2 linked regions of the Nothobranchius furzeri genome follow. The protein of the gene in region 2 purifies or fractionates together with the protein of the main gene of each other region. This does not show direct contact. Links are inferred from orthologs where the notes say so. Each region holds a gene or a part of one and is shown on either strand. Other genes may lie near its edges. The genes, in order: ccdc115 and atp6ap2.

Region 1 (4,052 bases), on a different chromosome or scaffold from region 2:
CTCTAGGACCAAGCAGAAAACAACCGTTTGTGTTGAAGCCTCTTTCCCATTAGAACAGACTGTAAAGATACCCCCACCCCCGTGTCCCCCCACTTCTAAAGTGAAAATTACGTCCATGGTCTGGAGCGCATAACGATCAGAGCTCTGCACCTCTCAGGTCAAAATAATCCCCAGAGTCCACATAGATAATTTAATATAAGTAGAACCAGGATCGTTTTGGGCTCCCTCTGGGTGTCAACTGAGGGCTTCCAGGGGAGCGTCATCCTTTGGGGTGAGCTGGGATCCCTTTAGCTAATAGCTCACCCATAATTCCAACCCTGCATATAGCACAAGTTGGTTGCGAGAGTTGCCGAATCCGAGCAGCCAGTTGCTGGAACGGTCCTTTCAAAATAAGACAGTTCGCTGATCTTGCTCCGGCAAGATCCAGCTCAAATTAAGCACTGATGACACCCTTTAGTGCATGTTTAAATTGATTACATATGGGAAATGCCATCGTTGCATAATTACTCACTGCGTGAAAAAGGATGTAGAAGATTTGAGCAAAAGCCATTTTAATAACACTTATTAAAGCTGGACCAGTCATTGAACAAAACAAAAACACGTTAACATAAGGGGATATTTCAAGCCACATTGAAATGTTTTATACATGTTAATAACTGTACAACTCCATGTGAATAACTTTGATGTAATAATGTTACATCTGTGACTATCCCTTCTAATTACAGCAAGAAATTATTTGATGCATCAGTGAAACCCTTTGATCTATTGGCTCCCTGTTGACGATGGAACTTTGGTGCCCTCTTGCTCAGATACAGCAGAAGTATTAGATTCACTGCCGTGATCAGCAGAGTCTCTGAATTGTTCTCCTGGGGCCTTTTTGTTTTTTAAACCGTCCTTTAGCTCTTCTCTTGTGTTTAAAACCGCAATCTGGAGAGCTGCAATCTCAGCAGACAGCTCCATTACTGCAATAAGAGAATAGTAAACAGAATTTTCATTAGCATTTAGCAAATGCTTTCACAAGCACGCAACAACCTTCATGCTTATAAATCCCATTCAAACATAAAAGAACATCTAAAAAAAAACAGATTTCATATGCAAAGTACTTAAAAACATTTGCATAGTATTGACTTACTTTAGAAATTAACCATCATACCTTGTATGAATGATGACTGTGCATGTTTAAGAGGCTGCGGCACCAAAATCCCAAACCACTTCAGGGGGTCTTGCTGAGGATTGTGGTCTCTTCTCCAGGCAGGAGCTTTCTGCTCGCTTATATCCTCACTTGTCTTCTTTTCTGAGATGATTTCAGTCTTTTTTCTTTGCCTTACACCTGTAAAAACATGTAGTATGATCATTTGATAAGAAACAAGTAGATGACACATTTTACCATTAAAATTTTCTGTTGACCTTCTTCTCGAGGTCCAATATCCTCTACAGACGTCAGGTCCTTTACAGACTCTTCACCACAGGTTTGAGGAGACCTTTCGATGCAAAATTCCACCTCATCGTTGTCCAGGGTTCTATTAAACACACAGTAAGGGATTGTTTTAAAATAATATTAAGAAGTGTCCAACGGTTTTTTGACAGCATTTATTTTGCAGTCCTCACCTAACATGAACATGAACCAGTGGCTCCATCTCATTTGCATACTGAAGTGGTGAGACTTGTTTATTTCCCATGGAATATCGTGCTTTGGACATGGTGAACCATCCCTAAATGGTTAAACAGGTAGAGAAAAGAAAGTTAAAACAATCAGTTACAGTATTTAGATGTAGGAGAAAAAAACAATCAAGCTAACCAGTTCAAGGGTGATTTAAACATTTGGTTTTAGCTTCAGAAATGCAAACATGTCAATAAACGTTACCCCATAAAAATAATTTTGTTTACCATTTTTACTCGATGTTCTCCTGTTGACATATATTTGTAATAAACTAGATGAATGTTTTGGCATTTTGAATGAATGATGACTGATACATTAATTTGAACACGAAGTTCAAAATAATGTATTTTTTAAAATGTAAACAAATGAGGACAGACATCCGAGTATGCCTAATCCCTTTCTAAAATGTGAAGCTAGCTGAATAATCTTTACCTGCTCGATGAGAGAATTCAGAGAGGTTCTTTTCTGCTCCAGTAACTCAAGCTGGTCCATAAAACGGAGCAGTTTGTCGTCCAGTGATGGAGAAGACTGCTCTCTTCCAGATACACCCATGTCGAGTCTCTGAAACAAGTAAGAAGCGGAGTTTTTAAGGTCGTTAGCGTTAGCGGCAAACAAGTCTGAGACAAATGTAGCTTCCGTAAAGCGTCACGTGACGCCCACAGTCACGTGACATTTTTAACATCCTCTGGGGGTGTAAAAGTTTATAATTTCATGTCATGAACCTTAAAGGGTTATTACTTTATATGTATTATTTTCCTAAGAGTTGTCATGAAAAGTACCTATTGTGTAAATAAACAGTTTTGCAACTAGATGTTTTAATTTAGCTGTGCTGGTTTTAGCTGACGATGAAAACACAGAAGTTGTATTTATTGTTAATGTAAAGGTAATATAATAAAAAAAAAGACATGCGTAAAAGAATCGGATTGTAGGAGTGCCAAATAAATACTTTGCACGAAAAAAAGCTGTTCCCATACCGGGAGTCGAACCCGGGCCGCCTGGGTGAAAACCAGGAATCCTAACCGCTAGACCATATGGGACTGTTGAGCCGGTAAACAGATGTATGTATAAATGTGCTGTTTATGATCACTGACCTATCTTGTCATATAGAGTTGGATGTGTGTAAAGGTGTAATGGGCCTCTGGCAGTACCTGTTGGGCAGTACCTGTTCTGTGAAAGGCGAGTTGAGCGTTTTATCCATCCTTTTGTCCAGCCATACATTTTATTTTAATGAGTTTTTTTAATAATCATTTTTGCACAACCTGATGTATCCTGTTTCATTTTTCACAAAAATTATGATTACAGATACTTATCAGTAAAACATATTTGCCAGTACTTCACCTTTTAGCTCACATTCATAGAGCTGTATTTTGACGTGTTCACACATGTCCCCCTGTAGCTCGCCGTGATCGTATAGTGGTTAGTACTCTGCGTTGTGGCCGCAGCAACCCCGGTTCGAATCCGGGTCACGGCAGGGATTGTCCCTGACACGGCAAGGGTGGATACCTTTTACTTTATTTTCTTTTTATTTTTGCTTATTTACAGTTTAATTAGTCAATTACACTCAGTACAGATAATAACATTAATACATTTTCCTACCGGCATATGTTGTTGTTTGCGTTTTAAAAATTATTTTAAACATGTTGTCAGTGAGTATCAATTTTAACTCTTTATGTCGTGTCTTGCTTTTATCCTAAAGCTTTAATTTAGTTTTGAACATTATTACAAACGTACGATAATTATAGGGTTACTTCTGTTTATTCTAGTTGCACTTTGTAGGAAAATGACGGAGCTACAGAAACAGAAATAAATTAAGTGGCCTAAATGTTTAAGTTTACAAAAAAAGTTACACGAAAATTTACATGTTTTTGTCGATTCCACCCACCTGGATTTAGACTTTAACCCTGATTTTGCATAAAAAGAGGAGAGGGACTTTGAGAGTACGGAGGCGCTCATTGGCAGTTGTCAACAGCGACGTCCATGTTCCGAGATGAAGCGCCAATCAAATGAGTCGGCGCATCGTGCGCGCCTCTAGTTCTACACATGCAGCAATGTCATTGGTGTGTGTAATCACAAGGACCCGCCCAGATCAGACAGAGTTCCGCGTTTGAGTTTACATGCCCTAAAGTGCACATTTCAAACAGGTAGAATAAACTGGTAATAATATCATCTCTGGTAAGTTCAATATCTATCTATCTATCTATCTATCTATCTATCTATCTATCTATCTATCTATCTATCTATCTATCTATCTATCTATCTATCTATCTATCTATCTATCTATCTATCTATCATCTATCTATCTATCATCTATCTACTCTGTCATGATCTATGATCATGACAGAGTAACATGTGATTTTTGATATTGACAGTATGTTCATTCTATCTTCAAACA
Region 2 (4,538 bases):
ATCAGCTCAGCACGTTAAGAAGGAAGGTGAAAGTATTCATCATGCTCTTCGTCCCATCCAACCGTCACACGTTTTCACTGCAGAAGACCTCAAACACACAAAACACAAACATTCACATAGGAGCTTCAAGGAGACACCGGGAGTGTTGGCGGTCAGGACTCAGTCCATCCTGATCTTCTGATTAGTCATCCTGTAGATGATGCTGTCATATCCAGGGTCCATGTTCCACAGATTGTAAGCGATGGCGATGACGGCGAGGGCCAGAGCGATCATCAGCCACAGCACAATGTTGAAGATGACAGCGTACTGAAAGCCGTACTTGTGGGCCAGGTTGTAAGGGCGGCCTGGGTTGCTCTGGAAACATTCAACAAGTCAAAGTGTCACCTATAGGAAGTCCCATATGAATCCCACTTAGCCCAACAAGTCCAAACAACCACATCTACTTGCCCCCATGCTTTATCTCACATGCAAACACGACACAGACAATTATTAATGAAGAAATAAAATGCTGTCAAAGACATTCAGAAATCCAGGAGTACCACGTTAAATATTTTAATGAATTAGAGCGACTATTTTAGGCATAATTAGATTTTTGTTTTTTTTTACCATTTTACTGAACCAGTGCAGAATTTTAAAGTCGACTTACAATCTGCTTAGATTCCAGGATTGAACGGGACTTCCTGATCAAAGGAGCCTCAAAGGTCTTCACTGTGACAACCTCCACCACGGCACCGTTGCCATAGAGACGATACATATCCTCCCCAAACTGTAATAAAAAAAATGTGGTTTATATCAGGTTAAAGTAAACAGTTAGGCAGCATCAGCTTCAGAGTCCTTACTTTCTGAAGGACAGAGGCTATGATGGAGGTGGCATCGCGGTACTGAGGAGAATCTGTGCCATAAAGCCGACTCAACTCCTCCAAACCAGAAAGCTCCAAGGAGTAGAGGTCAGGGGAGATGTCCTTGGCCAGATGTTTGTGTCTCTGTAGCTACAGAAGGGGGGGGGGGGGGGGGGGGGGGGAGTTTTTATCAAGACAAAAATAAAAGTTTCAGCCATGAATGATGACTTACCAGAGCGGTGATGTCATGCAGTACTTGAACCTCAGACAGGAAGAGCAGATCAGCCTGAAAACAAAATGAGTGTTGATTACAAAAACAAACAAAACAAAATTCTGCTGTTAGGAGAGGGATGCATCTCAAAATGTTAGATTTGGCGTCACGGCAGTCATCGACTAACTTCTGAATTCCTGCTGAGAGAATTGAGTGGAAGCGAGGTCAGCACGGAGCTGTCCTGCGACAGCCGAGCACGGATCTGCTGCAGGGTGACCGGCAGGTCCTCAAACACGGCATTGGCCTTGCCGAGCATGTAAAGTCGCTGAAAGGGAAAACAAAAGCTTAGGAATATGAGAAACATTTGCCTTTACAGTATTGCCCCAGAAATTTGTAGTTTCCTGTTGTACACTGGATTTGTTTTTACCTCCTCGCTGGGAGCCAGCTGCAGCACGACAGGGGTGTACTCAGCAAACAAAGAGTGAACAGTCTCTGCAACACTGTCCAGGGTAAAGGGTACCGGCTGGAAGAGAGAAGATAACTCTAAACTCAATATTAAGCTAGAATTTCACATTTCTGGTGTTGGTCTGACTTACGTTCTCCAGGGGGTACGAGGCAACGCTCTGAGGAAAGGACAAGCTGTCGACTCCTCTCACTACCACAAGCACGTTAGCTCGAGGTCGCTGGAATAAAGGACCAGCCTGAAGGCCGGGCCAAGTCAAATCCTGTGTGAATAATAAAAAAATAAATAACCACGAGCCCTAAATAAAACTGGACAGAAATGACACACACATGAGATGGTAAATAAAGCACCTCTTGAATAGAGAAGCCCATGGTAAGAGCCACCAGGTCGGGGATCTTCGTCCCAGATACCGGCCAGTCCCCTTTCTGGAAAGACACAAACTCTGGTGCTTGCAACACCGTAAGGCTGTCTCCAAGGACACCTGCGGGACAAAAGCAAAAATAACTACAATTTTCCCACAGGGACAGACTTGATCCTTAGACTGTTATATTATCTCCTAACCAATTGTGTATTAGATCACATTTGTTCATGAAAAGTATCTTAAATGAGGTGGATCATATTTTAGAAAGTCAAGCGAATGAGTATAACCTCAAATTACATATTTTTAGTATATTTTCCGAGTATTGTGACCTTAAAAAGGTTATAACAAGCGTCCTAGTAATATGTATGACAAAAATAGAGCTTAATCATGACCAGCCCGTATGGAAGAATCCACTCGTGACTAGAGACAACAGGGATGCGAGTCAATAAAGAGGAACTAACTAGTCACGTGACAAAGCTGAACATTTCGCTATGTACGAAGAAATTACAATTATTTTTTGGCGATTTAGATTACTTTAAATGTCGCTTGACAATTTGTGAGAAAAAACAAATACACATTCACTGTTGGTTCTAAAGTTAGCTGCAAGCTAATCTCCAGCTGTTAGCACTGCTATTATGAGCAAAGCTGTTATTATTCTCAGCGATCCGGCACTACGACCCTTTTTGTTTATTATTATCTTTAAAACATTCATAGTTATATCTACGCAACACTAAAACACACAGGCAGACAAAATGTCAGAGTAAATGAATGCTAACAACGCTAACTGGACTGTATTTGGTCATTGAATGATTAAACTCCTAAAGGAAGCGACGACAAAAGGGTTAGTTATAATAGAGTACACAAATGTTAATAAGAGTTTTAGTTGTCGTGCAGTTCCTACCGGTGAGGACACAAAGGACTAAAACCATAGAGTTAAATGTAGCCTCCATCCTTCGGCAGTTCTTCAGCGACATCTTTCTCCTTGTATGTCGGTCAGCTGACGCTATGTGCAGCAAAGCATTGTGGGAGTTTGTGACAGAGTAGCTAAGCTTACCGCTACATAGTGGACAAACCGCTTGTTAATGTTCGATAAAAGCTAAAAAAAAGAGATTTATGACTATATTTCTTTAAATTAACTGTGTTAGGTTTTAGACGTTTAAGACATTATTTATTCGCGATTTTCCTTGAAGGTGCAGTGGGTTTTTTATTTGTAATGTCACTACATCACCACAAAAGGGCGGCAGATCTGACCACAACAGAAACCAAAGATCAAATAATCTCAAGATAGTTCACCGTCTGTCGTCTCTTGTCTGTGTCCTCATCAGCGGCCTTCTTTTTCAAGGCTTTAACCTCTTGGTAGCACACAACTGTAGCAAAGCTGCTGCTCAACTGATAAACCCTGTTCATCTGTTCTACATGCAAAGACAACAAACCCCAGTTTGGTAACAGAGTCCCATCACCAGCCTGAATCTGCCACACACACACACACACACACACACACACACACACACACACACACACCCTATTCTTTGGATCACATGATGCTCTCATGTGAGTGCAATACAGACTGTATCAAACACACATTTATTAAAAAATTAAGTGGAAGAGTGTTTTGTTTTAAGGCAGAAATTTATTATGTTAATATTGCAACTTTTTCTTCCCAGTGAAATTTACATTAGCTTTGTGATTTGATTTGTGTGGTTCCTTCTGTACTATCTTGGTCCAAAATAACTCTGTTTGTAAAACCAAAGTAATTTAAAGTATATTTCGTTTGATTTAACTGCAGAAAATCATGAGATGTTTCTTATTGTCATGGTAATATAATTTTATTTATGAATTTAATTTAATTGAATTGGGTTTGACTGTGGATTGGTGTTGTTGTAATGTCACAGGTTTGCCACAAGATGTCAGCATTGTATTTCTTTTCCCCTAAACCAGCTTCATTTCGAAATTACAATATTTAAATCTTCCTTTACAACAGCATCTCTGCTGCTTAAAAATAAGCAATTGCATTTGAAATTATTTAGCTCTTCAACATAAAAGTAAATATTTGTCCTGAATTTAGCCATGGCCTGTTTATCTGGATCTGAAATTTTGACATTGGCAGCTAATCCTGCTAACACAGAGCAGATGTGACTATGGTTTAGCCTCCATGTGCTTTATTTCTGTGACACAGATCGACTCTCGTCTGCTGTAGCTTTTTTATCCAAATATTCACTGACTGAATGCAGACTTTCATGAGAGAGGAGGAAAGAATGCTCGAGCTGTGCAGCCAATCATTGTTGGGTGAGTCCTGTGAGCCCAATCAAAGCTCATTACATGCATCTAGTCAACTCCAAGTGCCCACCATGAAGAGTTCACACAGGTCATGCTTTACAAAAAGCTGTTTAGGAAGGCACGAGAATCTCTGCAAGACGGAAAAAAGGCCTCAAACCATTGCTCATGTGTGTGTTTAAAAGTGTTAGTTTGAAAAGTTTTATTTTTGTTATTACAAATAAATCAGGCACATTTGACTGACTTTAATAAAGAAGAAGATACTGTTTATTATTATGTAAATTCATGCAGAACGGTCAAGGAATAAATTGTTTTACAAATATTGTGGAGCAAAAAAGTATTTAGTCAGCCACAGATTGTGCAAGTTCTCCCACTTAAAATGATGACAGA

The links.
Region 1: the proteins of atp6ap2 (region 2) and ccdc115 purify together in Homo sapiens (affinity purification with mass spectrometry; 3 studies listed by BioGRID and IntAct, counting the BioPlex papers as one, with this or other methods). This does not show direct contact. The link is inferred for Nothobranchius furzeri from reciprocal best matches to the Homo sapiens genes ATP6AP2 and VMA22.

What each region holds. Positions count from the first base shown.
Region 1 is NC_091755.1:25,080,918-25,084,969, forward strand, and holds ccdc115 (coiled-coil domain-containing protein 115), read right to left. Parts: upstream 2,319-4,052; 5' UTR 2,213-2,318; coding exon 2,093-2,212; intron 1,713-2,092; coding exon 1,609-1,712; intron 1,521-1,608; coding exon 1,408-1,520; intron 1,331-1,407; coding exon 1,154-1,330; intron 963-1,153; coding exon 763-962; 3' UTR 535-762; downstream 1-534. UniProt on the Homo sapiens protein: Accessory component of the proton-transporting vacuolar (V)-ATPase protein pump involved in intracellular iron homeostasis.
Region 2 is NC_091754.1:27,619,056-27,623,593, forward strand, and holds the start of atp6ap2 (renin receptor), read right to left. Parts: upstream 2,930-4,538; 5' UTR 2,849-2,929; coding exon 2,776-2,848; intron 1,995-2,775; coding exon 1,864-1,994; intron 1,776-1,863; coding exon 1,647-1,775; intron 1,574-1,646; coding exon 1,478-1,573; intron 1,376-1,477; coding exon 1,238-1,375; intron 1,126-1,237; coding exon 1,072-1,125; intron 990-1,071; coding exon 840-989; intron 767-839; coding exon 647-766; intron 355-646; coding exon 160-354; 3' UTR 1-159. UniProt on the Homo sapiens protein: Multifunctional protein which functions as a renin, prorenin cellular receptor and is involved in the assembly of the lysosomal proton-transporting V-type ATPase (V-ATPase) and the acidification of the endo-lysosomal system.